2 linked regions of the Caenorhabditis elegans genome follow. The protein of the gene in region 2 purifies or fractionates together with the protein of the main gene of each other region. This does not show direct contact. Each region holds a gene or a part of one and is shown on either strand. Other genes may lie near its edges. The genes, in order: sec-10 and srw-23.

Evidence for each region.
Region 1: the proteins of srw-23 (region 2) and sec-10 fractionate together in Caenorhabditis elegans (co-fractionation; one large-scale study listed by BioGRID). This does not show direct contact.

The regions. Positions count from the first base shown.
Region 1 is NC_003282.8:7,777,777-7,794,063, reverse strand, and holds sec-10 (Exocyst complex component 5), read left to right. Parts: upstream 1-11,564; coding exon 11,565-11,753; intron 11,754-11,802; coding exon 11,803-12,906; intron 12,907-13,643; coding exon 13,644-13,876; intron 13,877-13,923; coding exon 13,924-14,512; 3' UTR 14,513-14,683; downstream 14,684-16,287. Other genes in the region: Nucleoside-triphosphatase ntp-1, read left to right, coding at 1-127, 588-895, 942-1,331, 1,380-1,640; C33H5.13 (CYSTM domain-containing protein), read left to right, coding at 1,872-1,910, 1,955-2,073, 2,130-2,250; rsp-6 (putative splicing factor, arginine/serine-rich 6), read left to right, coding at 2,836-2,889, 2,943-3,073, 3,120-3,227, 3,667-3,819, 3,867-3,960; imp-3 (IntraMembrane Protease (IMPAS) family), read left to right, coding at 4,575-4,724, 4,776-4,934, 5,205-5,307, 5,525-5,725, 5,961-6,187, 6,241-6,323, 6,791-6,894, 6,943-7,179 and 2 more; tag-322 (uncharacterized protein), read left to right, coding at 8,510-8,666, 8,709-8,854, 9,029-9,151, 9,197-9,525, 9,574-9,698, 9,752-9,816, 9,891-9,992; tag-321 (Transmembrane protein 65), read left to right, coding at 10,239-10,769, 11,115-11,258; rpap-3 (RNA polymerase II-associated protein 3), read left to right, coding at 15,101-15,724, 15,774-16,043; swd-2.1 (Anaphase-promoting complex subunit 4-like WD40 domain-containing protein), read right to left, coding at 16,192-16,287. UniProt on the Caenorhabditis elegans protein: Component of the exocyst complex involved in the docking of exocytic vesicles with fusion sites on the plasma membrane.
Region 2 is NC_003283.11:16,867,553-16,882,491, reverse strand, and holds srw-23 (G-protein coupled receptors family 1 profile domain-containing protein), read right to left. Parts: upstream 8,551-14,939; coding exon 7,826-8,550; intron 7,704-7,825; coding exon 7,350-7,703; intron 7,260-7,349; coding exon 7,037-7,259; downstream 1-7,036. Other genes in the region: F09C6.11 (Transposase), read left to right, coding at 182-283, 328-438, 486-506; F09C6.14 (Small hydrophilic protein), read right to left, coding at 1,177-1,245, 1,291-1,401, 1,454-1,498; F09C6.3 (uncharacterized protein), read left to right, coding at 2,338-2,466, 2,516-2,638, 2,910-3,056, 3,102-3,245, 3,467-3,580, 3,627-3,665; F49A5.10 (uncharacterized protein), read right to left, coding at 6,348-6,470, 6,517-6,615; thn-4 (THaumatiN family), read left to right, coding at 11,005-11,262, 11,307-11,750; clec-33 (C-type lectin domain-containing protein), read left to right, coding at 12,672-12,825, 12,870-12,938, 13,004-13,057, 13,195-13,239, 13,553-13,597, 13,697-13,750, 13,864-14,015, 14,059-14,203 and 2 more.

The sequences.
Region 1 (16,287 bases), on a different chromosome or scaffold from region 2:
ATTATCAAAAATTTGCAAAATGGCTTGAAAAGTGTCACTGCTTTAAGAGTTAGTGACTCAAATATACGGATTATTGATGGTGCTTGGGAAGGTATATATAGTTGGATTGCAGTCAATTATATTCTTGGTATGTTTCCATTTTCAATTTATTCTATTATAGTCTTGCGCCTCATATTAGGGTTGTGCGGCACTCGAAAGCGATTTTGCTTGCTACTATAAGCTATAGTCCAATATTTCACAAATTTGTTCATTTGATGTAGGAACTGAAGTTTATTAAATCTCAAATTCTGAATGCAGTGAAAAGAATCAGGATTCCCCATAAAACACCAAGAACCTAAGTTCCCAAATTCGCAAACACTCCAAGGTTACTGTAGATATTTATTTCAAAAGAAGTGCGCGCGGCGAGACCGTTTCGAATAAATGAGCGTTCCTTGAAATTTATAAAGCAAGTTATAAAAAACACTTTAATACTGAAAAAAATGATAATTGAAATATAATAATTTAGTTTTTTTTTCCTGATTGAAATTTTAAGAATAAAACATATTTTCGAAATTTTAAAACATTATTTATATATTTTTGTGTTTCAGGCAGATTTGATAAAGAGAATGATTCAAAAGTTGGAATGATTGATATGGGCGGTGCAAGCGTTCAAATAGCATTTGAAATTGCAAATGAAAAGGAATCGTACAACGGCGGAAATGTGTATGAGATCAATTTAGGATCGATTGAAACCAATGAGGACTACAAGTATAAGATTTATTCTACCACATTCCTTGGTTATGGAGCAAATGAAGGCCTGAAAAAGTATGAAAATTCGCTTGTTAAATCTGGAAATTCAAATGATTCGTGCTCTCCCAGAGGTCTTAACAGGTTAATTGGAGAGTTCACAGTTAATGTAAGTTTAGAAACTACTATTTTTTCAAATTTATTCAAATTTACAGGGTACCGGAGAATGGGACGTTTGTCTTGCACAAGTATCATCTTTAATCGGTGATAAAGCTCAACCTTCTTGTCCAAACCCAACATGTTTCCTACGTAACGTGATTGCTCCATCAGTTAACCTATCAACTGTTCAATTGTATGGCTTCTCAGAATACTGGTATACGACAAGCAATTTCGGATCTGGTGGCGAATATCATTATCAAAAATTTACGGACGAAGTTCGAAAATACTGCCAAAAAGATTGGAATGATATTCAAGATGGATTCAAAAGAAATGAATTTCCCAACGCTGACATTGAACGACTTGGAACAAACTGTTTCAAAGCTGCTTGGGTGACCAGTGTACTTCATGACGGTTTTAATGTGGATAAAACCAAGCATTTGTTTCAGGTATGAATTTTTAAAGACACATCTTACATTCAAGATAAATATTTTCAGAGTGTTCTGAAAATAGCCGGTGAAGAAATGCAATGGGCTCTAGGAGCAATGCTTTATCACTCAAAGGATCTCAAATTCAACCTACTAGAACAACTTGAAGTTGCGCAATCTACCCAACAAATATCAAATTTCTTCTCATTTTTTGTCATTCTTATCATTGTACTGGCAGTTGCTTTATATCGCCAACTTCAATCTGAATCTACGTACAAAAAATATAATTTTCTGCGAACCGATTCTAAACCGGATTTTCTAAATGTGTAGAGCATGATTTAACTTATAACAATTATAATTTATCATTATTTTCATGTCAAATGCAATAAAAAGGTGTGACTGGTCTTTTACTTTATATTCAACCCGATTAAAATGATAACTAAGTTTCGTCACTTCACTTCTAGATGAATCAGCGAAAGGCAAATAAGGAAAAGGAGTATTTTATAAACTCGTCGTCTTTGAATCGTCATTCTCTTATCACTATATTTTCAGTATTTGACAATGAGCGGCGCACCACCACCACCGCCACCTTACAATCAAGTGAGTTCGATCTTTGAAAAAAACTAAACCGAAAATGATTCAAGGCTTATAACGCATATCCACAACCTCCACAAGGTGTCTACACAGTACAACCCGGTGTTCCCATCGGACAAGGCGTTCAACCAGCATATGCAGTATATTATCAACAGCCTCAAACTGTCATGTGAGTTCTATTCGATATTTCGCGAAAAATTAATAATATTGACTTATTTCTTTCAGAGTTGACGACTGCCATCACCATCATCATCATCGTGAACGGGAGCACGGGGGAGGAGGAGGCGAAATGTGTTGCTTAGCTGGTTTAATGGCTTGTCTATGTTTTTTGTGTTTGAGCAAATAATTTTAATTTGATAATCTGGTTCATAAATTTGCAATTGATATATAAAAATCAATTGAAACTTTGACTGGTTTTGCTATTTCTACTTAGAAATAAATTCAGCACAATTCTACTTTCACATTTGTATGTATATTTTCAGAAGATAGTTATCATTTCGGTTTTTTTATAAAACATATTTTAGTGGAAACATGCAACAAGGCATGCTTTAAAAAATTAAGTGTAAATGTGATGCATTCGAGTTTACTTTTTATTGCACAATTTCTGTATTAATACATGTATCCGTTATACAGTGCAACAAATTCGGCTTATTTATAAAATGCATTTATCAAAAAGATTAATTGCAACTGAAATTTTCGTTCGAATTCGCGCCGTTATCTCACCCCGACATTAGGAAATCTGCACAGCTGAAACAAGTGTTACCGTACTACACGCATCGCGAGCAGCTGCGTCGCGTTTATTGAAATCATTTCGCGCGCGTTGCTCTCGAGCTATCTCCGTTTCACACTTATTTTTGTTTCTCAATAATTATTTTTTGAATATTCAAACTTCGTTCTTTTGCAACTTCATAAATTAATTTGATTTTTCAGTATGGACGCCAAGGTGTACGTCGGCGGTCTGCCGAGTGATGCAACATCACAAGAAGTGAGTTCAATCTTGAGCCATTAACAGTAATTATGTAAATATACATTTTTCAGCTCGAAGAGATTTTTGATCGATTTGGAAGGATCCGTAAGGTTTGGGTAGCTCGTCGCCCTCCTGGATTTGCGTTCGTGGAATACGACGACGTTCGTGACGCTGAAGATGCTGTCCGCGCTCTTGACGGATCGTAAGTTGTTTGCTTTGGATATTCGTTTAATGCTTCAAAATTATAGAAGAATCTGTGGTGTCCGTGCTCGTGTTGAACTTTCAACTGGACAAAGACGTGGCGGTGGCGGTCGTGGTGGAGGTTTCGGCGGCCGAGGTGGTGGCGGAAGAGACAGGTTAGTTGAAAATAATTTGATAGTTAAAGGAAAAGAGAGCTGTATTAAAAATTTTATTCGGTAAAACCGTGGACCAAATTTTTAATTTTAGCGGACTCCGCTCGTCCGCGTCCCCATCTGCCATCCCAAACATCACTATCTTCCACTCCTCTCCGTCTTCTGTCTTCACGACACATTCTTCTCTTCCACATCGCTACGCGCCCTTTACTTCTCCCAAAATCATCGCACCAGAATTGTTTTTGACTCTTTTCATCAGTTAATTCTCCGCAGTAGTTCCTGAATCGAGCTTCTGACAAAATCGTCTCATCATGCCTTCGTCGGCTGAATCTTCCCATTCAGTAAGAAAGTTACATCTACCTTTCTTTATGCTGCCATCTGCAGGAAAGATGTATTCGACAAATATGCAATATTCGGAATGTTTTAACATTGTTTATTTCAGATCGCCATACCGAGGAGACCGTGGACGTTCCCGTTCACGCTCTCGTGATCGTGGACGTGATCGCAGCCGCGACAGAAGCCGTGATCGCAGTCGTGACCGAAGCAGAGATCGCAGTCGTGAACGCAGTCGCGAAAGAGAACGTACTCGTTCAAGGTAAGAGTTTTGGATATAGTTATTTAAATTTAAATGAGAAATTTCAGATCTCGATCTCCTCAAGAACGTGATCGTTCTCACTCGAAGAGTCGCTCCCGCTCTCGAAGCCGTTCTCGCAGCCGTTCTGCTTCTCCGCACTAAATTGTGGAAGATCCAAGACCATACAGTATCTTCTCCACAACATCAATTTGCAACCCTAATTCCTCCGAAGAATCTCGAATCAATGATTTAAAAAAGTTTTCACTAAATTTAATTTCTTTGTTGTTTAACCGAATTTTACCATTATTACCTTTCACTGTTCTGTCTTTTTTTATTTTGTTCCTCTTTTTGTAACCTAAAATCGTGAACTTTCATCCATTTTATAAACTGTTGTCGGAAAATAAAAGTAATATTTCGGTAATTTGTGAACGGGGAAATCCAGGGAGACCTTATTTTGTGCGACTTTTTGCTCTGTGAGAGCGTTTTCGAATGTGTAAACAACTGCTTGGAGAACTAGAGAGCAGCACGTGTTTGTGGTGCTCTTTAAAAATGTTGGTCACCGGCCAGCAGTAGAAGATTGATTTTCCCACACATTCTTTATTTCTCTTTATGTGTCGTCCCACCGGCAGCAACGCACGTTTCTTTTTTGTTTCGTATGGCAAAGGATAAACAGGTCTTTATATAGTACGGTTCTACTTGATTTCTCTTCGTCTCTTGCCATTTTTGTTTTCGTATCGTCTCACAGTTAGCACGTGCTATTCCCAGAAAGAAAAAGTATGTGTACTGATTCAAAAAAAGCTCAGGATTCGCCACCAAAAATGCGAGACGACGTGGCAAAGATTGCCGCATCGGCGAGCATTTTAATTCTTTCATGGATTGTACTTTATCACTCCTGTCGAAGGGCATCTACAATTTACTTTTTCGAGGTTAGTTTTTAATAAAATATATTTCTTTAAATTAATTTTAAAAAATTGCAGCTCGATTCAACAACTGTAATATTCATGGATCAGGTTCCTGCAATGATTCTCCCATTCGTTTTCTCTATAGTCTTGTATTTTGTATATTTGGGAACTAAAAGAAGCGCCAATATCGAACGAGACAGAGAAATTGCTAGAGAAGCTGAAAAAGAACTCAAGGTGATTCTACTAGGAAAATGCTGATTTAATTCAAAATTTAAAAAATACAATCACTAGTTTTATGTAAAATAGTTAATTTTTCGCTCTAATTCCCTTTCAATTGTTGAAAATATCTTTCGAAAACTTCTTGAGACTGTCATTCTTGTCAATTAAACTCGGTCTGGTAATCAAAATCAACCAGTTCAGCGTAATTCCCCTTGATTTGATTGATTAATCGATTCATTTCATGATGTGATTGTTTGTTTCTTCTTTAACAGAAAATTGTTTCAGACATCCTCTTCATTCAACTCTCGAAAGGTTTCCCGTGAGATCAGCAGGCGTGCTTCCGTTTCATTAGGAGATGAACAGGCAGAGCAACAGCAAAGAATTCGAAGTAAGATTATCAAAATTGAAGGAAACTGATAAATTTATCGTCCTATCATATCAAATTTCTCTCATTTATTTCGAAATTATACACATTTGTGTTCAGAAAAGTTCATTCTACAGTGAGAGAAATCTAGTAGATAGTAATTTCAAGTGAGCTCGAAATTTCCTTTAATGACCTACTTATAAATTTGATTCGTATATATATATAATTGTTATTTTTCTAGGATTGCTATCAGATATTGAAGAAGCAGACATCGAAAATACAGTTCGAAGCCATCGTCAACGAATGGAGGAAGAAGATATTGCACCGAAATATGTGGATGATAATGAAAGTGGACAAGATACACCTCCTCCAAGAAAGTTAACAAAATCGAGATTTGTAGTAGAAAGTGCAGAAGATGGCAGTAAAATTATTATTCCACCAGGTATTATTCCACCAATACAAGTGCTTTCAAAACTCTTCAGAATTTTAAAAAAGGGAAATAATATTGACATCCGAAATATATATTTTTGAAAAAATATTTTATCTCGAAAAGTGGAATTGACAATCAACTCTGTAATTTAAAAAAAACTACCGCAACTAAATCTTCAATAAATTAAATTTTTATGGAAATTTGTTTTTTTTTAATTATAATTATTTTAATCATATCACTTTTTCAGAATCGTCATCTGTTACACCAGAAGTTCGTAGTCGTACTAACTCAAAAAGTACTCATGATCTTATGACAACACACAGAGGATCTTCAAGCAATTGGATATCTGCAAGTCAACGATCAAGCAGAAAATCTTCAATGGGTGGATCACCAGATAAAAGTCAAATTGTATGGACTACCGGAGAAGAAGGTACGACGGCCGAGAAATGTGACATTTATAAAAAACTCGGAGATGTAAGTTTTCTGTTTTTTTAAATCAAATTTTAATTTAAATCATATTATTTCAGATTGACCTATTTTCCTATTCACTAAGTGCGTTGAGCCTACTTCCGAGGAGTGATGATGGACCCAGAGTTTACATTCAACTTGAGTGAGTTTTTATTTGATAAGGAGCAAAACAAATAGTGAAAATTGAACTAATAACAAAAAGTGCAAATGAAGATATTTATAAATTGGTGTTGAAAAAAAACATCTTAACCAGGCTTGGGAGCGTGATTTGATGAATATATTGGGACATTTTTCTTAATTATTGGTTTTTGCAGCTTGTAATTTCGAAACTTTTATTTCATAATGTGAAAACGTTCATTTTATTCCAGACACTGACAACTTCTCAAAAATTTTATTATGCAGAAAAAATAAATTCTAAAAAAATCCAAAATGTTTTGCCAACTCTAGACACCAGGAAATTTCATTTTAAAATTGTGCGAATACCCACTTTTGGAGCAAAAAAAGAATTGAAAAAGGATGCTTCATGGATATATATTTATGAAATACAATCAATAACTAAAAATTTGAATTATTTTATTGTTATCAAAACTTCAAAATAAAAACGTTCAGTTTGCTCGACATAATTGCTGAATTGTTTGCTGTTCATGTGCCTATCTGGGCATCCGTTGCATGTATTCATATAATTCTTTTGGAATCATTCAGTCAGCATATGTGTAAGTTAATATTTTTAAAGCTGAAACTCTAATCTCATAATTTTACAGCATTCTACTTTTATTATCATGAAGAATCAATGATGTACGCTTCTCTTCTTGTATCTCTCTCATTTGGACTTTATCATGAATGTTCTGGTAATTGGATCTCTAACGACATTCTTGCTTTTGCATCGATTTACGTCGTGTGTTCAAGAATTCAAGCTGTGAGCTATCAAACTGCAATTATATTTGTCATTGGAATGTCGCTTTTTGATCTTTTCTTCCTTTATGTGGTGGATCTTTTGAGTAAGTTACTGGAATCGTAGTCTTGCGTCCACGAAAACGCTGGAATGTTTGCCTTTATAAACTTCAGTCTCTGTATAAAAATTAGCAACTTTGAAAAATTAGCACCTGATATCGTGACGAGACCCACGCGGAAAACATCATGTGCCTTTAAACGGACATGACAAAATTTCGCGAAGTTACGATACATAAAATTGAAGTGTTCATAAACTGTACTAAACATTTTTTAAATTGTTTTACGAGACTGACTGAAATAAAATTTTCGATTTTGCGATTTTTTACATTGTTTACTTTTTAATATAGATGTTTTCAGGCACAGTAGTCAAAGAAAATCGTTCTCCTCTCATGATCCTTGTACCTCGAGACACAAAAGGAAATAAACAAAGTCTCGCTGCACTTGATATAATGGTTCCTGGAGTATTTCTAAATGTTGTTCTCAAGTACAGCTCAATGTATGATACAAATCTTTTTGCAATCACGTTTGCCGCAGTCTTTGCATCACTGGTTTTCTCAGTTTTCTTTTCTATATGGAGGTAAAAACTGTTTTAAATTCTACTTCTTACAAAATACTCTTTTAACAGATCAAAAACAACTCCGGCTATGGTTCTCCCAGCAATTTCTGCAATCATCTTTTCAATTGGATTTGCAAATCATACCGACGACTTATGGAAATTTATGATTAAACACTAACAATCGATTCAAAATTAATGTAAATAGATAATCTTACTTTTCTACATGCTTGTTCATATTCATATCTGTATTTAAATTGTTTATTTTGACTTCCGTGAAGATCAATAACTTTTCGTCTAGGGTACATTTCCACTTGCCATTTTTAATTCATCGTTTTTTCTGATGAATTATTTCTTAAAATAAAATGATTCTCGGATTTTTAGTTGGTTTTTTTAACATAAATAATCCAGTAAAGATGATCATAATGTATTCTTCGGAAATATATTCCTTCCGATCGGAATTCCATGAGAAGAAATAAAAAAATGACACAAAAACTGTTCCCGCAAGTGCGCTCTATCGAACGACCTATGTACTCCACTCGGAGAACTCTAGTGTTGAGTTCTTTCGGCAATTTCTCTCCTGTTTTTATTTGTTCTTTGCATATATTAATGATTTTAACGTAACATTTAATTAAACATTTTTTTAATAATATCAGCAAAATCCGCTGTCAAATATTTCATAAGATGTCACCACTTCGTCAGTTTTCAGTGACTGGTGCCAGCCTTCCATTCGATTATTTAGTGTAAACTTATTTGTTGTTTACTCCATTGAACACATTTTCTCTAATACCCCTCTTGAGCCAAATCCCGACAATTTTTCAGGAATGTCAGATGGAATAACTCTCGATTTTGCCAATCAAATTATCCAATATTGTGCAGAAATTCGAGAATTGTACGAAATTGAAGAATACGTCCGACAGCCGAATGACCATAATTTACTAGAGTTTCTTTATGATCTCAGTACTTTTTTGCTTGAATTAGGTAAGGAATGAAGATAATACAATTAATTTATTTCGTTTTCAGAATGTCCTCATGAAGAACTGACATGCGGTGATATTAGAACACGTTTCCAATCTTCATCAGCAAAGAAGCTTCTTGAAAGTTTTCTTGATTCAGAAGTCAAAACTGCTCGTCTCATTACTAGACAAAGAATTGAATCGGGTGAAATTGTAAGTTTTCTTTTGAAATATTGCATTTAAGTTGCCAAAACACAACTGGAAATATCTCGGATTTATCATTAATCACATTTTCTCAAATTTTTGCTTTATATTTTCTATTTAACTTTGTTTTTTCTTGCTTTTTAGTCTCAAGTCCCTCCACTTCGACCTAAATAATTCATTAAGGTCTCCGAAAAACGTGATCTCGAACTGACTCCACTTATTGATTCTGCCCTTCGAACACTCAACTTCCCTAAACAAGCAGGAAATTCTAATGAATGGAAACTCTTGGAAACTTTGAGACAAAAGGTATTAATAATTCATTGAAGAAACCCTCTCAAATTCTATTTTCAGACAGATGGACGCGTTTCCCAAAGTCAAAGACATCCACTTTTCAAAGCGACTCTTGATGAAAATACACTTCCTGAAATTGAAAAACAGTGTGAATCGTTTTCTCGTGATTTTTACAATCGACTTCTACTTCTGAACAGTCGACTCAAGGTCACAGTTGAATCATTTTTATGGAATGATCGCCTCAAGATGCACAGAGAGAATATTCAATCAATTCTTTCTGCTCGTGTCGATGAAATTGGACGAGTTAAAGCGAACAGTGACGTAGCTCATCTTCTTTCTGCAAGTTCTTCATTGCTCTATATTCAAAAAGCGTCATCTATGGATAGAAGGTATTTTTATAAAAATGTATGGTAAAAACTATGAAATTGTATTTTCAGAGAACGAACAAAAAGCAAACAACATCCACTTTCAATTATGGATGCTCCAAAAGATCGTGGAGGACGCACAGAAGAAATGGTTGGAGTGAAACAAGAATCTTTCAGACAACAACAACATACTTTTGGTAAGTTTACTCATTGTTAATTGCGGAAAATTTCTTGAAATAACTATTTTCAGATAGGCAACATTCCCAAAATCGACAAAAAAGTACTTTCGACCGTCCAAAAACTCACGAGGAGCAGGTTTGTTGTGTTCAATCTTTTTCTAGCCATTGTGGCGTCATTAAAACATTGCTCTTATCAACTGTCATTTCTAGGTTCTCGAACAACACACTTCACGAGACAATAGTGGACAAAATTGGAGAGGAAGAGGTCGTGGAAGAGGCAGAGGACGAGGAGGCGGACGCGGATATCATTGAAATTTGATGTTTTGTCGTTTCTTATTCTTTTCAATTCATTCGGTGTTTTTTTCAAAATGGGCTCACAGTTCCTTTTTGTTTTAATTTATGAAAACTGTTTATAAATTGAATGTTTTTCTTTTTTTTGAAAATGGTTGTTTTCCAGTCAAATCCCTCTCACTCGTTATTAATTATGTATTATTCGTTAAATTTATTGGTCTTCTCATAAGTTAAATTACAGACCACGGCTTGCCGAAAGGCAAAAAAATGATCAGCTCGCCAGCTCGTCTGGCTTTTGCCATGATCGGCAGAGCGAGCTCTCGAACGCTTCTAACAAACCATTCTGTCACAAGTATCCGTCTATCGACTACAGCAGCTTTCAAACATCTTGATAAACTGATAATTGAAACTCCAAATGATGCTATGGAAATTGCAAGTCGTCTGACTATCATTGAACAACAGATGTTGAAATCGGCGTTAGACGATTGTTTGACAAAGAAAGAAGATGGGAAAGTAGAAGAACTTACTCAAGAGCAAGTAAAAGGAATATTTCTAGTCAATTCTATTCCTTTTATTGGATTCGGTGTTCTTGACAACATGATTATGATCCTAGCTGGCGAGTATATTGATCAAAAACTCGGGGCCGTTCTAGCTATATCAACTATGGCAGCCGCTGCACTCGGAAATCTTATCTCGGATATTGCTGGCGTTGGTCTCGCGCATTATGTAGAGGTTGCAGTGCAACGAGTTGGAATTAAACATCCTGTTTTGACATCTCAACAATTGGACAGTGGAAAGGTGAAAAAGGATCTATTGATTGTTTTTCAAAAAATGATAAAAAGTGTTAAAAATTTTATTCACACTGAACTTCTGCCCGAATAAATTCAGTCTGCAGCTGCTGCATGCAGCAGGGGTACAAATTGTGCCAATGTGGCATGTTTTCTCAATTTTTTTCAATAAAATTTAGTGATAGAATTTAGAAAAATATTTGTTTTATCTGATAATGAAGTTGAAAATTGCCGATAAATTTTTGAACGTTTTTTTACCAGAAATGTTCAACTACTGAACGAAAATGAGAAAAATAATCGTCTTTTTTCACACTCTAGAATTTTTAACTCTTTAAATTTAAAAAAATGATTTCAGGCCAGGTTCACAACGAATGCTGCAAGAGCAGCTGGTTTAACAGTCGGATGCTTACTCGGAATGTTTCCATTACTTTTCTTCAGCGACGACGAAGACGATGAAAAAAAGAAGAAAAAAGAATTGAAAGCAACTAAGCTTGAATAGAATTAGAATTTCTCATTGTAAATATTTAACTTTTGTTCAAAATACCTAAATGTTTCTGTATATTGCATAATCTTGTCCCTCTGCCAATACTAGTCAATCATTTCTATTTCCCTGTATGCCATTTGCATTTAAAAATTCCCTGTTATTTGCTCAAACTTCAATGTGCTTTACTCTATTTTATTCTTTAGTATAAAACTATCAGAACTGATAAGGTTTGAATAGATTATTTAATTGGTTCTTTATAGCCGTCGTGTATATTTTATATTCAAAAGTGGTTTTTCATGCTTTAGGAACAAATAATTACAGATGAGTGGTGGACAATATGTGACATATGTACAGGATCTAGAACAGGAACCGTTCGACGCAATTGATCTTGTTGAAAAACTGGCATGGAGAATGACCGGAAGTGCTCAGACTATAAACGATCCGGTTTCTTTGAAAATGCGATTCGAGGAAGAAATTGGCAGTTTACAGATGCTTTGTGATCAGTTTCAGGTTATTTTTCAATTTTCTGTTCGCATTAAAAAAAAGTGGAAATTTTTAGAACAAAATCAATACTCTTGAAAAGCAAATGAACGAGGAAAAGAAGGATTATGTACAAAAACTTCACCGTCTTCACGAGAAAAATGGAGAAGCAATTGATAAAATGAAACAATTAGATCATACAATGCAAGCAGTCTCTACAAAAGTTGTTCATCTTGGTGATCAACTTGAATCCGTCGATCAACCACGTTCACGAGCTCATGATGCTCATCAATTGATGCAACATTTCGATGAATTCCTCTCAGATCAACCTCTCAATTCCATGATTTTCACTGATCCTGATAAGCTTCTCGAATCTGCCGATCTGGTGCATAAGCTTTATTCAATTTCTCAGGAACTCAATAAGGACAAATTTGCAAATGTTCAAGCTAGAATTGGACAAAGATATAAAGTTGTCGAAGACTTGCTAATCGAAGAATTCGTCAGATCTCAACGAGATGAGAAGAAAATGGCAGAAGTTGCGAAGATTTTGAGCGAGTTCAAAGGTTATTCGGGTTGCGTCGATCGATACGTCGATTTCTTGTGTCAATCAATTCATCCACGTGGCGATGGTGGAGAAATTCTAGCGGATTGCTTGCAATTATGTCGAACTCAACAACCAAGAATATCTGCAATATTTCCATCTCCACACACTGTTATGCAGAAATTGGTTCTGAATATTTTCACAGGACGAATGAAAGAAACAATAACTGCAAGACTTAGAGAATGTAAAGATACAGATGATCAAGAACATTATCTCCGTGATTTGGCATATCTCTATTCGAGCACTTTGAAAATGTGTAAAGAATTGGAAAAACTTCATATCAGCCCAGACAGTGCATTTTTATCAACTCTCACTGACTCTATTTTCCAAAGATACATAGCTACGTACTGCTCGGAAGAGTTGAAATATTTGAATGATCAATGTTCGAATCTCCTTCAAAGATTCTATGAATCAAAAAAACACGTAAAGAAACAAATTGGAGGTGGATTACACGAGTTGAAACGAGATGTGGCTGCAAGATTAATGAATGTGGAAACTTATGGAGGAGAGACTTTTGTCGCTGAAGATGTCGCCATTTCGATTCTTCAAGAAACCAAAAATGCGTTTGGGCGGGCAAATCAGGTACGAATTTTGATGTTTTGAAACTGCAAAAAATGAAAGAAAATTTTAAAAAGTTTGAACGCTCTCTTGTTATAACCTAAATCTACCGTACTCTCCTACGTGACGAGACCGTCGAACGGAAATTTTTAAAGCAATAATGAAGTAACAAGATTTTTTGCAACATTTTGCATAAATTCTTGGTACTTGATTCTTTTGCAAAAGGTTTAAAAATATCGTCAAACACGAAAAACTGATACAAATTCAAGTCTGAAACCCGCCTCGCCGAATTTTTCGATATTTCAAAGTAGTTTTCAACAATTCCAAATTTCAAATATTAGTGCTGGGTTACTGTAGTTTTCAAGAAAAAAAAACGTTTTGAGCTTTTTACGAGATTTTCAGTGTCACCTGTGGCTTTCAGCAAAAATTTTTCGACCAAAAAACGAAAAAATTCAAAATTTTTCCTTTTTCCGACTAAAAATCAACATTTTTGCAATAAAATTTGTATTGGTTCGAAAAAAACCAAGAAACCCATTTTTTTTCCAAAAGAAACCAATAAAACGGTGGGGTACTGTATTATTTTGTTTTAATTTTTCTTTAGGAATATTCAAAAAATATTCAAGTTTCCGAGTATATTTCCTAAAAATTGAGAGTTTTGAAATAATATTCGGAATTTTTTTCCAAGCTTCTTTCAAAATTTTAACGTATAAAAAACCTAGCATTTTTGCAAAAATAAATTCGAAATTTCAACTTTTTTGCAGTTATGTGACAAAGAAGAGCTGCCAAGACACGTGGAAAATATCGTAGACGTTCTATTAAAATATCTTTACGGAGAACATTTGGATTATGCTGTGGAGACAGGCTTGGCTGGAATTTCTCTTGCAGAATCAAAAACTGAACCACCTGCCTACTTTTTCTCGGTTGTTGCAAAATGTACCAGTGTCATTTTACTTATGATTAAACAATTTGAAGATCCCATTTTCCCTATTATCAAGTGAGCTTAATTTTTATTAGAAAACAAATAAATATATTTTATTTCAGAGAAACAATTGTCGAACCATCTGTTGCCAAGAAATGGCAACAATCTCTGCGTTCTTTGGAATCAAAAATGAGTTTAGGATTGGAACGGCAATTGAATTCAATCGTAGGATACGTGAAATTCTTGTTCAGCGAACAAAAGAAAACTGATTTCCGTCCGGATTCTCAGCAAATTGATATTCGAGTATCCCCACAATGTCAATTGGCATCTCGTTTTCTTGCAAACCAAGTTGCTGCAATGGAGTTGGGATGTGATGGCGAAAATTTGGAAGCACTTCAATCTGATCTTGCAACTCGGCTATTCAAATTCATGCTTACACATATTCAACAGTTCACATATAATTCTACTGGTGCTGTACTTCTTCTTTGTGATGTTGGAGAACTTCGAACTCTTGTATCAAAATGGAGAGTTCAAAATGCACTGACACAATGGGAAAGTCTTCAAGCTCTTACCAATTTGCTCGCCGTTCTTCCCGATCAAGTTAATGAAACAGCTCACTCCTCGTTGCTCGAAAATGTTGATAGACAATTGATTCATGATTTTGTTCGACTTCGAACCGATTTCCGATCTATTAAAAATTTCCAAATTTAGTTGTTCAAATATATTTATTGCCTTTTTCGATTTTTGTGAATGTCTATTTCTTATCCAGATGCTTTTTTCTTGTGATAGATTGGATTTTTAAACTTAATCTTGAAATTTTTTTAAATAAAAACTAACACTTAATACCGTTGCGGGTATTCTTGTAAATAAAATGCTTGCTTTTTTTTTTTAATATCTGTTTTTACCCAAGTTGGTAGATAATTCCATCGCATTGTTATTTGTTGTTACCAAATTGTGAAATGTTGCTTTTATTTAAAAAAAAAACGCTTTCTGCTCTCACCACGGAAAACAATTTTCAAATAAAGGCTGCGCTAGGGCTGACCCCAAAACACAAGAAATTAATTGTTTTAAAACCCAAAAAACCAACAAGAAAATTGTTTTTTCTCTTCTTTAAATTTTTAAATTTTGTTTTTTTATTCGAAAAACCCCAAAAAATCTAATAAGATTTCAGAATACTGATGAATGGGTTACTGTACTTGTAAAAGGTTTTTTCGTGTCTTGAATGAATAAAAAGTATTCTTGGAGATAGAGCTTACTTGTGAATTACCTTATTTTGAAATAAAATATTTCGTTTCAGAAATGGACGAAGAAAAAAAAATTGCACAACGTCTGAAAGAGCAGGGAAACGAAGCTTTTAAGAAGAAAAAGTATCATAAGGCTATGACAATCTATTCGAAAAGTCTTGAACATTGGCCTGATCCAATTGTATTCAGTAATCGAGCTCAAGCTGGGCTCAACGCAGATCTTCCTCTACTTGCCCAAATCGATTGTACTGCTGCACTAAATTTGGATTCAACTGCAGCAAAAGCTTACTACAGAAGAGCTCAAGCCTTCAAAGCACTGGAATTGTATGAATTGGCTGAAAGAGATATGAAAACTTGTTTCAAATATTCGAATGATCCAAATATGGAGAGACAAGCAAATGATCTGAAAGGAAAGAAAAATGTGCAAGTTATTGATCTTCCGTCAATCGAAAGAGACGAATATCTACAATCAGATGAAAAATTCACAAAAATCGACTTTACGTACAATATTGAGAAGATCGAGGAGATCATTGTCGCTGAAGAACCAGAGAATGATAATATTGTTCCAAAGTATATAACAAAGCTTCCACCACACCCAAAGGACTATCAAGATTTTGTTGGAGCTGTGAATATGTTGAAAAGAGCCCAAAGTTTGCTTCCTCTTGCAGAATATTTCTTAGTAAGTTGGAAATCTGTGACGTTTCAGAATTAATCGAAATTTGTTTCAGAATATCAGCATGGATAAATATTCAGAATTATTCGATGAACTCCTAGACGATGTATATGCTGTTCAAATCTTCAAGGCACTCAACTTTCATCTGAAAACTGGTCGCACGATTCCCCATCTCGCCGCACGAATGATGATCATCAGTGAACTCAGTCGTTTTGATCTTTTAATCGCATTTATGTCCGAAGAGCAGAAATCAACTATTACTGAAATCTTGGATTATATGGTTCCAGAAGAAGCAGCAATGGTGTCATCAAGATATTCTTTCTGATATTGAACTTTCTTCATTTCGAATCTCAACTTGTTGTTACATTCATATTGTTGTTTTTGTGAGTAAAAATTATAAATATCGTAATTTTAAAATGTTGAATCGAGATCAATGGGGAATGATTTGAAATGTGCTATTTGCATCTTTTTGTTTAAAGATTCTGAGTGTATTCTTCACTGGGTGCCCATAATATAACTTCTCGTCCTAAAGATGTCATCAGGAATTGTTTCTGATTGAAAGCAACTAC
Region 2 (14,939 bases):
AGAGGAAGAGGTTCATTTGTTTACTTATTTTCCGAAGTAAAGTTTGGTCCAAAACGTGTTTCTCAGAGATGAAATAATCCACAAACATTCTCATTATTTACTATTTCTTCCTCATCTTTATCTCGCATAAATACACCTACATGTTCTTCAAGACACTATATTTCCTGTTTTAATTGCAATTATGGGTTGGGCTATCGACGCCAAGGTTACTACCACTACTAATTGCGATAATTATACTGAACGCAGCGGAAGCGAACGGGATAATCGTGTTGACAACAGACAGGTTGGTTCCTCGTGTACGTATTCGCGTAAATTCATATTTCTCAGAGAATCATCCACAACCGCAATGAAAAGGATGAGCAACGAATTGATTCGATTATCGCTCAAACTACACAAGAACATAACGAGCACATGTCGCGTATATTTGGTTTGGCAACGGTAAAAGCTTTATGTTCAGACACAAAATCTGAAAATACTGTTTACAGAAACTGTCCCAGGGAAAATGATTCTGGAGCCTCACTCTACGTTTTAAAATACACAGATATTCATGATTCTTATCCATTTAAAGCAAATATCTATAATTTTGAATAATGAAGCTATGTATATTCTTTGCATTTTTTACATAGGATGATTGACAATACTCAATCTATGTACAATCCTTGATCTACAATAAATGAAACAACGCAGAATTGATCAAGGATACAAAACACCTTTCATCTCAACTTTCTCTTTGTATTTTAGCCATAAAATCAAAAAGTTGAATATGATAACATCGGAAACAATTTATTGCAAGACGGTCCACAAGCTGGAGCCGAAAAGAGGTTCTCGGAAGATGTTGAGAGCATTATTGGTCGTTATTATATCTTTTTATCTCATTTCAGCTGTAGATGAATTTTTTGGAAAAAGAGATACCATTATTAGAAATCAGAGTATTCGATGGATCTTTCTGAATCTTGTCCAGAATAATCTGTTTCAAATATATTTCAAATATACTTGAAATATATTTAAACCAGATTTGGAAATATATTCCCAAATATATTTTAAATATATTTTAAAATTCCCAAATTATTTGAAATGTTTTTCAAAATTCACAAATATATTTGAAATATATTTCAAAATTCCCAAATATATTTGAAAAATATTCCAAACATCAAATGAGCATTATTATAATTTATGTCAAGCACTGTTTCCACCAGACTGTTTGTGCATTTCCTGAGCTTCGTCCTCCAATTGTTTTTCAAGTTCCTGAACAATATTTATTTGATTTCTCGGAAGCCTAGAAACACTCACATCAGATAATTTCTTTGCGTGCGCTATAACTGCTTGACGATGCTGACTGAATTTTTGCTCCGTATTCTGGACAAGATCCGCAATTTGGTTACGTACCCGAGATTCTAGATCCTAAAGTTGGTTTGACGTTTTTGACTCAGAAAACAGTAAGGAAAGGTCTCACCACACTGTTGTTAGTTGTAGTTTGTCCATCAACGGGCCAACCCATGACTTTTGATTGTCTGCAATAAAAGTGAATTAAGAATTAATTGAAAAAATATAGATGTATATTAAGTAAAGGTCTACAAATGGGAGTAATTAAAGTAAAATAAACTGAGCAAGAATAGATAAATACTGAGAAATCTTAAAACTGCTTCACCCTAATGGAAACTCGAATGATTTAGTCTGTTTACACATCCGAAAGCTGATTGCGCAATGACGTTCGAGTTCAATAATAGAACAAAACCACAAGGTCAGCTTCAATAAACTTGCAGATACTTGCTATTGCTCCAACATTTCTAGTAGACTCGATATGCCGTTGGATAGACAATTTTTTGTAAATATTATGGGTACATTTTTGAACATGAAAATTCAATTTAAACCGCGCTAGAGGGATTATTGTTTCAGAATCAATTTTAATAGGTATCTAAGCACAAAAAAACAAAAACAAAAATTTTCGATCTCTAGTAGACTTGAAAGTGAGTGCAAATAGTTCAGCAAATGTAAACAATGAGACAGTTTCTGTGTATTTCAAGACCTCGGGTTTATCGGTTAGAGTTGCCAACAGTGAGCAAGATCAGAGGAAAAGTAAACCAAAAAACAGCATTTCTCTGTTCTTGCTGACAAATCATTTTCAGGGTTGCGAAAGGTTTTCTATTGTCACTTTTTGAAAAAGCTCTGAGCTCTGGAAGTATTGAAATTAACAAATTTCGTAATCAACTTTATTTGTTATGTTTGTTCCAAACAAACATTTCGTCGAAGTTCTTTTTACCTTTCTTCCTCAGCTTTGTTCTTTTTTTCCCAACGGCCATTGGCATCCTCATTCGTTAAACTGCTTATTTTCAGAGCATGGGCTCTACACATTTTGACGAATCCAATGAACAAGTGCCTCCAACCATGAATATTAGCCACGATATCCGTGTGGAAACAATTGCGAACTCCAACAACATTCCAGGTGGCAATAGTTCCCGGATTGAGGTATTCAGTATGCTGCATAGACGCAATTATTTAACGTTTCTTTTTTCAGAATGTTTATACGTCTAGATCCGAACCACGTGGAAATCCATCTGTGCATTTCAGCTATGATTCAAAGACTACTATCAATTCCAACAATACAACTATTGACAACAAGCGTCAGAGGACGACACAGGTAGAACATCTGTCACATTTGATTCAAAATGTGGGAAAAACTGGGTTAGCATCACTTAAAAAAATACTTAGCACAGCCACATGTTCGACCATGACAATTGTGACGTATGAATAATATAAACGTAAAACTAGAAATACAATTTTTTATCGAAATTTCCAAAAAATAGGTGAAAAGTGAATTTTCCCCGCTTTTTCAAAATCATTTTCTCACAGACTAATCTCCAGCTTTAACTAAAAAATTTGTGCCAATTTTTAAATTATTGACGTTTCAGCATTTTCCGACATCAAATCCTTCTGATCGATCAACTACCTTTGGAGCCAATCCATTCTCAGATGTTAACAGTGATATAAAGCACGAGAGTTCAGAAGCAAATGACGCATTTGAAAGTCATAAAAAGCGGAACAACAGGGAAAGACCAGTAATTTATTCATTCCAGTTTTAAATGTGTTTTATATTCTTGCAGAGTCCGCACTCATCATCTGATGGCCGAGAGCAAAGATCATCAGGAGGATTTTTCCGTTTTAAAGAAACAAATACTATAAATTCAAACAACGTCATTATTGATAGTAGACAATTTGAAAATAATCGAAAATACAGTAATCAACAGGTACAGTGTGCATGCTTTCGATAGGACCGCTTAGAATTCTTGATTTTTCAAGGTTTACAAAAAAAAAATTTATTGAATAGTGTTTAATTGCATTTATAATTTTCTGTTTAGTTATCAGATGTAAAGTAAAATGTGGCCTCGCCAGCTGTCGGCTGCTCACTAAACTTTAGTTTTTTTAACAGCGTTTTACAGAAAATCTTATCCTTCATCAAATAATTTAGGTGATCAGCGTTGAGAAGAGATCTGAAGCCGATCGTCAACATATTGCCAGACTGGATGAAATGTTGGCTGAACAAAGAAAACAACAAGATGCGCAGAATGCTATACTTGACAAAGTTTGTATCAAAAACCCAAATGCGAAAGAAAAACATAATTTTACAGTTGCTACATCAAAATGGAGCAGCTACTGAGAGAAAATGAAGTGCTCAATTTCCCCGAATGTGGAGCAGCGCCAATGGGGATTTTGTCTAAATACACTTATGTTGAATCATCATCATTTACTATTAATAAAGCGCTTATTCCGTTTGTCCATAGTTTGTAGCCTATGTAGTCTTTGTAGTCTGTGACGTCACAGCTTACAGAGGCGAGGCGTTTTAGGCTGTTGGAGGAATATTGGTTTGGGGTTAGTGGAAAGATGTGGTCGGGGTACTGTAGTAGTACTGTAGAGGTACTGTAGGAGTACTGTAGGATTACTGTAGTTTGGGAAAAATTGACTTTTCGCTTTTTGAAGGGATATTGGTTTGAGGTTAGTGATAGGATATGGTCGGGGTACTGTAGTAGTACTGTAGAGGTACTGTAGGAGTACGGTAGGACTACTGTAATTTAGGAAAAATTGTGTTTTTGTCTTTTGAAGAGATATAGATTTGGGGTTAGTAGTGGGATATGGTCGGGGTACTGTAGTAGTACTGTAGGAGTACTGTAAGATTACTGTAGTTTAGGAAAAAATTGACTTTTTGTCTTTTGAAGGTAAATTAGAAAATTCGAGAAATGTTCTTTATAGAATCGTCTGGAAAGCTCGAGAAAATTCTGGAATGTTCAAGAACCTTCTGGAAAATTCGAGAAAATTCAAAAATGTTCGTGGTGATTCAAATTTTCTGAGAAAATTTTTTTTTGGCGGGGAATTCAAATTTTTTGAGAAAAATATTTTGGCGGGAAATTAAAATTTTTAGTGAAAAATATTTTGGCGGGAAATTCAAATTTTTAGTGAAAAAATTTTGGCGGGAAATTCAAATTTTTAGTGAAAACATTTTGGCGGGAAATTCAAATTTTTAGTGAAAAATATTTTGGCGGGAAATTCAAATTTTTAGTGAAAAAAATTTGGCGGGAAATTCAAATTTTCTGAGAAAATTATTTTGGCGGGAAGTTCAAATTTTTTGAGAAAAAATTATGGCGGGAAATTCAAATTTTTGTGAAAAATATTTTGGCGGGAAATTCGAATTTTTTGTGAAAAATCTTTTGGCGGGAAATTCAAATTTTTAGTGAAAAATATTTTGGTGGGAAATTCAAATTTTCAGTAAAAAATATTTTGGCGGGAAATTCAAATTTTTAGTGAAAAATATTTTGGCGGGAAATTAAAATTTTTAGTGAAAAATATTTTGGCGGGAAATTCAAATTTTTAGTGAAAAAATTTTGGCGGGAAATTCAAATTTTAGTGAAAAAAATTGGCGGGAAATTCAAATTTTTAGTGAAAAATATTTTGGCGGGAAATTCAAATTTTTAGTGAAAAAATTTTGGCGGGAAATTAAAATTTTTAGTGAAAAAATTTTGGCGGGAAATTCAAATTTTTAGTGAAAAAAATTTGGCGGGAAATTCAAATGTTCTGAAAAAAATATTTTGGTGGGAAATTTAAATTTTCTGAAAAAAATATTTTGGTGGGAAATTCAAACTTTCTAAAATTCTAAAATTCTGGAAATTTCGAAAAAATTCTGGAACGTTCCAGAACTTTCTAGAAAAATCGAGAAAATTCTGGAATGTTCCAGAACTTTCTAGAAAAATCGGGGAAAGTCTTCAATGTTCCAGAAAATTCTAAAAAAAATCGGGAAAACTCCGGAACGTTCCAGAACTTTCTAGAAAAAGCGGGAAAATTCTGGAATGTTCTAAATCGCTATAGAAAATTCAAGAATTGTCTGAAATGTTCCAGAACTTTCTAAAAATTCAACAAAACTCTGGAATGATCTTCTGGAAAAGTCTAGAAGTTCGTGGAGCGTTCTAAAATTTTCTGAAATTTCTAGAATTTTTTAAAAAGATCAAAAGTTGTATAAATGCCATGAACTTAAAAATGTGAAAAAATGACGTTTGCCAAAAACTTTCGGAAGGAACGTGAAAAAGTTTCATATGATCATATGACATGAAGAATATCTAGAAACGTTCATGAAATTCAGAAGTAGTTCTAGGAAACTAGAGTTTTTTTTTAAGTTGTAACTCTTGAACACTTAGTCATATAATATTCATATTGCTTTGAAAACATCTGGAAAGCTGAGCTGGTATCATAATAAAACACTCCAAAAATTCAGATTTTTCATAATTGCCAAGTTTTGACCAAATGACAAAATTTTGAAAAAAAAAGAGCTTTTGAGGAAATCCAAAGCAATGTCGCATGTTCCGGCCACTACAATGTTTTGATACAAATAATTAAAACAAAATTGAAGTATAAAAAAATGTTGAAAAACTTCTTTCTTTTTGATCGACTTCCAAAATTATGACTAGCAAAAACTGGGTAAGTGCCACTTTTTTCACAGTGAATAAAAAATTTTCTAAAATTTTAATTATGCTATTCGGTCATTTTGCCACCATTGGAGTAGTTTCTAACAATTTCCCCACTGGCGCTACTCCACCTTTAATTGAATTTATTTTTTTTCTGGTAAAAATGTCCACGACTTCTTGCAATTTCCGATAAAATAAATAATTTGTGTGATGAACTGGATCTTTTTTACTATAAATTAAACACATTCAATGCACATAATACACCAGTAACGGCAATTAGTCTAAACGGATAAGAATCAATAGCATTTATGAAATTTCGAATGTAAAGTTCGGTTCCAAAATCATTTCTTCTGGGCGATATTCTGTAAATTATTCCTTTCAATTTTTTTTCTAAAGTGATCAAACTTCTACCCTTGCTAATTCCATCATACGACTCATGTGCAAGTTATGTTCTTCATTAGCTTGAGCGAAAGTTGATTCAATTCGTCGTTTATCAACCTCAGCTCGGCTTAAGACAATTTTCTGAAAAAAAAAAGAAATAAGAGGAATACGAATATTGTGAACCAACCTTGCTGTTGATAACACTATTATCCCGTTCGCTTCGATTCTTCCAAATAATGTTATTGCAGTTAATAGTGGTAACATTCGAGTGAAAAGCCCTGTCCATCACTGTAGTTATGTTAAGAGTAGAAAATATGGAGGTTCGAAAAACATGTAGGTGTATTTATAGTAGATAAAGATGAGGAAGATTAAGCAAATATGTATACACGTTTTGTGTTATACTTTATCTTTGATAAAATGTCTGTTAAACTGTTTCAAAATGAGTAAATAGTTGAAACGCCACTTTAGTTTGGGCAGGAAGTTGCGGTCGAGATGAGTGGACGTTTGGAAAAGGCATATACATATGTACACAGTTTCTACTCCTTTACATGGGTAATTTCTAAATCCACACTTGAGACATTTCTTAGTTACGCAACTGCAATCCTGTTATAATCATCCAGGTAGCAGTTAATTTAATTTTTTTTTTGGCATGGAACGTCATTGCGCAAACAGATGATAAATTTTCTCATTATTTACCTATTTCTCAATCAATGGAGTTTCTCAGCAACAGACGCCGGATACATTGTGTCACTTATGGCTTTTCCCTTCAAAATTCGATCTTTCAAAAACCTGGAAATTGTTTTCCAGAGAACAAGCGATTTCACAGTGTCCCGATACTGTGAAGACATTAATACACAAACGAGAATATGGGACATTGAGTTGAAGAGTCGTAGAGTGTAGCAGACAGCAACCAATATTCGCATGTTCTGCCTACAACCAATTAACAACGTTGACCACACTATTCCCTGATTGGCCAGCGCCGCTGTTTGCGTGGTAATTCAAACTAATTTAAAAGCTCACATTTCGTCTTTCTCAAATATGTATAATCGATCCAAGATGTCGTGCCTAAATTTCCCCTTAATGTCAAGGAGACTGAATACCACAATTAATCCTTCCGAGAACATGAAGGTAATTGTCATCACAAGAATTAATAACGTAGTATTATCCGACTTCTCGTTCTGCCGCATTGATTTCCTCTTTTTCTTGATTATTCTCAGTTGAATAACCAGTGAAATTGTAAGTAGTGGGTACAGAATTATTTGAAAGACACGGAAAATCTTTTCAACGGATTTCTGATCTTCGCTTATTGAATATGCATCGTCGTTTGCTGGCATTACTAGCACATAGCGTTGGAGTCTTGGTTTCAGTATACACCTGGGAGTATTATGTAAAAAGGGCCTACGTCTAAGCCTAAGCCTAAGCCTAAGAATAGCCTAAGCCTAAGCTTAAGCCTAAACAGGTGAACATAGAAGGTCCTCTAGAAGAACCAAACATACCGAGTATCGTCGGGAAGCCAATAGAAGCTCATCCTCGATTTCAAAAGTAACATGTCATAGGAGATTAACACAATGAGCAAAATAATAGCCATGCTAACTGCCTTTCCCGGCTTCACGAGCTTCTGAATCTGATTATTCATTGGAAAAGCCACTGCCAACGTTCTTAACGATGCCATCACCATTGCCAACCAGATAGATAATCTTCTAGTGACATTATGTGCAAGTTCCATTGCCTGGGCGACTAGATCAACTTCTATCCATCCATATTTAACGCATTCGTCTCCATTATTATTGTGAATTGGTACTGGGAACCAGCTGTGTTTATAGTATATTGCATCTTTTGGATACGCAAGCGAGAAATTCAGAATATCCGAAACACAAATAGCAATCATAAACACATAAACTCCGCTTGTCCTCAATGATTTCCTCAATAGAATCATTAAATGAACGAGGCACAGGATAATTGCAAGGATTCCAATAAAAACGTTCGAATCGAGAATTCCGTATTGGATATTATGTTTCAATGTGGGGGTTTCAGTTGGAAAGTCATACTCGTACTCATTGTAGACAAACCCATAGTAGTCATTGGGATTTGCCGTTGAAACATTGACGGGTGGTAAGGGTATGAGCATCGGCCCTGAAAAGTTGTAGGTTCGAGATTGGAAAGATTTAAGAAATGGAGCATTTAGAGCACATTCGAAAAAGCGAAGATTTATGAAACACATGAGGATCAAACCGAGAGGAACCCATAAGGATCTAACGAGAGAGAACTGAAATTTTCAAATTTAAAAGATATATGTATATTTTTTGGGTATTTTGAAATCAAAAGCAAAAGTAAAAAATTCTGAAAAAAGATCCCAAACCAACATCTGTCGCCGACATCTCACGGGTTCCTCGTTCCACTATGTTTACCTATAGAGTTGAGTGGGGTAAACATAGTCAGGTGCGGAACCCGTGAGATGTCAGCGACTGATATTGGTTGGGGTTCCGATTTTTACCATTTTTGAGAAAATGACTGGGAATGAACTTTTCTAGAAAGCGAAAACGAGAAGATGCCCACGAGGGCTGTTGTTTTTTTTTTGTTTTTTTTTTGGTGTCTTTGGCAAAAATGACATTTTTGGGTATTTTTTGGGTTTTTTGGTGGTTTGGCAAAAATTGATTTTTTGGCTTTTTTTGGTGTTTTTGGCAAATATGGATTTTTTGGTTTTTTTTTCGGACCAAAAAACATTTAAAAACATAGTTTTTGAAAACTGTTATGTTTTAGTTGATTTATGTTATGAAAAATTATGAAAAGTTATGATATTATAAAAAAAAACTTGTTTTTTTTTGTCCAAATTTGAAACAATTTTTTTTTGTTTTTTTGGGCGAAATTTATCAGCTTGACCGAATGTTTTTAACGAAATTTGCGAAAATGCCAAAAAAATTGCAATAAGCGTAATCTAGAATCGCGTATGCCACTTTCTCTCTTACCTTTAATTTGCCACAATTACCCGAATACAGCTGAAAACCCATTTGAGCAGAAATAAAGTGAGTAGGCACATAATTATTAGGTTGTTTTTCAGGTGAAATAGGTAGTTATCAGAAAATCAAGTAATATTCAGAAAGGTGCTTCAATTTTTTATCAAAAACTTGATAATATTTACAAACGATATAACTAGGGTAATACCAGATCTAAGCCGATGATAACTATTTTCCGTATAGCGCTTGACAAATCCTTCCCATCAGCACTCCTACATCCATCATTGTTGCTGACGGCTTGACCTCCATAACCATTTGATGTCACACCACCACTCGCTGCACCGTGATGGAAATGCTGTGAATTCTGAAATTTCTGGAAAATAATCGATATTGCGCAAGACAACCTACAGCTTGGAGTACCAGAAAAAGGATAAGAAGAGTCAAATGGCGAAGGATCATTTCCAGGAAAGAATGTGGTTAAAATGGTTTCCCACACAAGTTAAGTTCTTGAGAAGTGGGCGGAGAAAAAGGTTCTGGAAACAAAGGTCAAGTGTTGTAAGTTAGGCTTAGCAACGATGATCAAGAAACAGATAAACTCAGAAAACTATTTGGAGAGATATAGTTAGTTAGTATTAGCAAGTGTTTTATTGTAAAACCATACAGTTTAGTGTTCCAGGTCAGAAGTGTTCTATTCACTTGCCACTTGTACTACACAGAGAAATGTCACAAAACCAATAGTGCAGAAACTTTCAAGTGTGACAAGATCATTAAAATTGAACACTTTGTTTCAGAGTACTTCAAAATAAATCATAAAGTTACTTGGAACTGATATAAGAAGAATGTGATAAATCTGATAGAGCACGATTTTTGGAAACACAGAAGATAGAGAACTTTTTAATGAAAAAGATGCACAGGTTGGCGAGAAATACTGTATCAAGGTGCTGATTCAACTGGATATTGTTTCAAAAAGACGAGGGAAATGTCAATTATTCATTTCAGAAAACTACCAAAACATAACAAAAACCTTTAATCAGTTAAATAAGAGTAGAAAGGTGAAGTAGCGCCAGTGGGGGCTTTGTCTAAATACAGTTATAATGGTCAAAAATGAACAAATATTATTATATTAAAACACTCCCAACTTTTTTAGAATTTTCATAATTTCCGGTCTACGTTTTGGTAAATTGTCAAAATGTTGAAAAAAAAAGCTTTTGAGGAAATACAAAGCAATGTCCCGAACCCTATAAGGTTTTTACGAATAACTGAAACAAAGATACAGTATGAAAAATGAAAAAAGTAATTTTTTTGTATATAGCTCAAACTACACCGGAGCAACAACAAAATCAGATTATAATAAAGTTTCCATCCACCTTTTGGCAACTGACCAGCCTTGCTGCTCTTTGTTTGCCAATCAATTGTCCGTTGGGCCACTGGGAATCTGGGCTGCTAAATTCTTACCGCAAGAAAGAAAATATCAACATTCTGAAATTGTTCTTTTACGGATTTTTCTTCCAAACCTTTTTTCGTTCTCTCTATGAGTACGACCTCCACCAGCATTGTTCGTTACGCTCAGCTAATATTTTCTTGTTAATGTTTTGTACCACTAATAGTAGTACTTGACAAACAAAACAAATCCTTGCTCTCCTCCCCCTTTTTCCAGCATTTAAAACTGAGCAGGCACTCGCAGAAACAGATAACTATTCGTTTGATCATCTGTAGGAGAAATGGCTCTCGCACAACTCATTTTCGCTGTCTCTCTTCTGGCTCTTGGCGCTGAAACCCGCAAGATCACTATCTACAACAGGTGCCCATTCACCATTTGGCCTGGAATTCAAGGGCCCGGAAACCCGGCCGGAGGAGGCTTCACGCTTCACTCTGAACATTCCAGAGATATCACTGTGAGCGATTCATGGACAGCTGGAAGAATATGGGCTAGAACCGGATGTGATGCAAACTTCAACTGCGAGACAGGATTCTGTGGAGTGAGTTGTTTGAAACATTTGCTATTATTTTCTTTAATTTGTAGAACTCAGAACAGTGTAACGGAGCTGGAGGTGTCCCACCAGCTTCCCTTGCTGAATTCACATTGAACGGCCGTGCGGGACAAGACTTTTATGATGTGTCAATGGTCGATGGATATAATATTCCAGTTTTTATCCAACCACATGGTGTATCTGGATGTCACCGTGCTGGAGGATGTGTCACAGATATGAACGCCAATTGCCCAGGCGATCTTATTGTGAGAGGACGCGATGGAAGAGTTGTCGCTTGTAAATCTGCATGCCTCAAATACCAGTCAGATCGAGAATGCTGTCGTAATGAATACAACAATCCAAGAACGTGTACCCGTTCTGCACTTGCTCAGCTTTTCAAGAATGCGTGCCCGACAGCGTACTCCTACGCTTACGACGACGCGAGTTCCACGTTCACATGCCAGCCAAGTGCTTCCTACACTGTTCAATTTTGTTGAATCAGCTCGTATCTGTTTTGAGTACGTCAATTGTAAATAAATATATGCCTAAAGCGTTTTTGATTACTGGAAGTTCAGAAAATGAAAATTTTTATCGGTTCCAATAAGCCTGAGAAGATAAAATTGAAATAATTGAAGTAAGAACAATTGAAATTCAGAGTTCATGTTTGAATGCAGACATATGAGGCAAGAACAATATAAGTCAAGACTGAGCAATTGTCTATGAAAAGGTGTTTACTCAATAAGTGTTCGTCCTCTAACCCATTTATTTGTTTTACCAGTTATACAAACCTCCAATAATAAAAAATTGGATATGCTTTTCGTTCAGCCTATGAACTTTGTTTACGAGCTTCCGGTCACGTTGCAAAGTAGTTAAAATTTTCTGAAGATGGTAGGGAAATCATGTTATCTCCGCTTTGACTTGAATCTCACAGTCCCACAGGCCCAGAACTTCTGCCTTGAGAAATGTGCGAACCTGGTCTCCATCCACTCGGCAAATGAAGTCCGCTTCATCATGACTATCTACGATTTTATAGGTAGAATATTGATCGATGCGCCTGCACTGGCCCCGACTTGATTCACTGGTTTTATGGTACATTGGCGAATTTTACCCACTTGAAGTTTTTCTATAATTCCACTTGTGTTCATATGTCAGTTGCACCTGGGATTTTTTCGTGTACTTGAATGAATTTATTGATGTTTTTTCGCTGGACTAGCAACTTGAGTCCCTTCTTGTGAATATCATTGTAGACAACCGGAAGTTTTTGGTCTGAAATTACATTTATCAATTTGTAGAAACGCACTCATATATTCTTTGCAGAAAAAGTCATCATTAATACGCACTGGATTATTGTTTTAAGTGAATTAATTTCCTTATCAATTGTTCCGATTGTTTCAGTCTCTTCAAAAACTTTTCGATCTATGTCGGCTTCACATTTAGTGCCAGAAAAATGGATTCAGTTTCTGAGACTTCATTGGTTGATTATACTTATCGGAGTAATCACTGAAATTGTTATTATAACTGGAGTTGTTCTGTTAACATATTTTACGACGCATCATGCAGCTTGTGCAGCAGGTAGGCAACACCTTTGTGAATTTCCATAAATTTTTGGTTTCCAGATAAAATAACAAGCTCTGATTTTCAAAGAAGTAATGTGTTCAGCTTGACAAGTGACTCAACTAATTCAGGTATGATCTGTTATTCGAAACAGGAACCTTTTTTGATCCCGTGTCTTCCGAACATTTACTTTCAGAGGCTTTATCAAGTTCGACTACAAACATACCGATGACAACTTTCAGCACAAATGGTAAGTTTACTACGATCAGGAGCGGTATTTTGTGATCGTAATATGTGGTTTGGTTTTCAATTTTTCCGATTTAGTGATGATATTTACCAGATTCTTTTGATTTTTGCCAGCCCTACCAGTAAAGTATCAACTTTCAGAAGCTTCATCTTCAACCAAACTGTTGTCAACCTCCAGCACAGCGGGTAAGGATACCTCGTTCATGGGACGAAAGTAATTCTAGCGGTTGCACCAACTGATTTTTAAAGTTTTATTTGAAATTGGTGAAGCTCTACCCGTAGAACATGTAGTTTCAGCGACATCTATCGCTTCGACTACAACCAAACCACTCTCAACTTCCACCATATCTAGTAAGGTTATCGTATCACTAAGCATACAATGACCGTCGTTATTCCAAAAAATCTGTATATTAGCACCCCCTAGCAACATAGGCTGCTTCTTTAGCTTCACCTATATGTATTAATGGAGTATATTAATCCGTAAAGTATCTACTTTCAGAGATTTCATCTACAACTAGAACGGTGTCAAGATCCATTAAACCTGGTAAGGTTACTTCATTCACTTGAACGATTTTTCAAAACCCCCTTTTAACAGCCACTGAGCACAGTTTTACATGTATTATTATAGAATATTCAATTTCAGAGACATCTACCGCTTCGACTACAATCAGACCCCTGACCACTACCACCACACCTGGTAAGGTTATTTTATTATACGTAGAGTATAAAGTGCCGGCTATAATTCTACGAATTTTGCCAATTCTATTAAATTTAACTGGAAAATCATGGATTCAAACTTAACCATCACAGCACCTTCCAACAACGTTGGCTGCACCTTTGGCTTCAACTACATCAATGGCAAATGTTGGCGATTAGTCACTAGTCTACAGACACGAGACAATGCTGATTTCGATTGTATGAGAGAAGGAGGTTCCACACTTTTCTCAATTAGGAATGAGCAGGTATACATGTTTTCTTGATACTATTGAGTAAAAATAATTAAAGGAAAATAATGCAACTCTTGATTTTGTGTCAAACAGTGGGGTTGCCTACATTTGGACCGGGTTGATTTGTAATGCAAATACTTCTTCTTCGTGTACTTGGGATCTGAAGAGTGGGTCCGCGGCAAACTATGACAACTTCGCAAAAGGTGAGGAAAAGTGAGGACAGAGAGATTGAGAGAGAATTAATTTCCAGGCTTTCCCAACAAGACCATTGGGGACTGCGTTTACTTCATCGCAAATGGAACAGAAGCTGGACACTGGAAAAGTAGCGCATGCAATCAGACAATGAGTTATGTGTGTGAACTACCTCCAACTATTCATGGTAAGGCTTCTAGCTCGGATTATTTATACAAGTTGCTTCATTGAAGATGATAATTGCGATAACAATTATAACAATAATTGTTACGTACGCTACGATAAGTCGTCCACCATTGCTGATGCTCAGGAGTTTTGCAAAACAAAGCACGGCGGCAACCTTGTTTCAATCAATTCGGCCAATGAAAATCGTTATGTTCAAACTTTATACTACGTGAGTGGATATATTCCACTGGGTGCAGTGGTTCCAAACTACAACGTCATATATTGGATGGATGGATCACCAGCGACATATAATAATATTCTATATTATACGAATGGAACTTGTCTGTTTTTGAATTTTTCATGGGGAGGCAGTGGTGATTTCTGGGAAACTGTCGAATGCACTGATAAATCATGGTTTCTGTGTAAATGGCCCATTGGAATTGATTATGCACAGTGATTGGTTTTCGATAACGAATATTAACTTAAAACTGAACCATTTTGAATTTTCTGACTATGATGATTATCACAATAAATCATGAAATTAATAAGCTTATTTTTTTGAAATGAATACTTAATTAATAG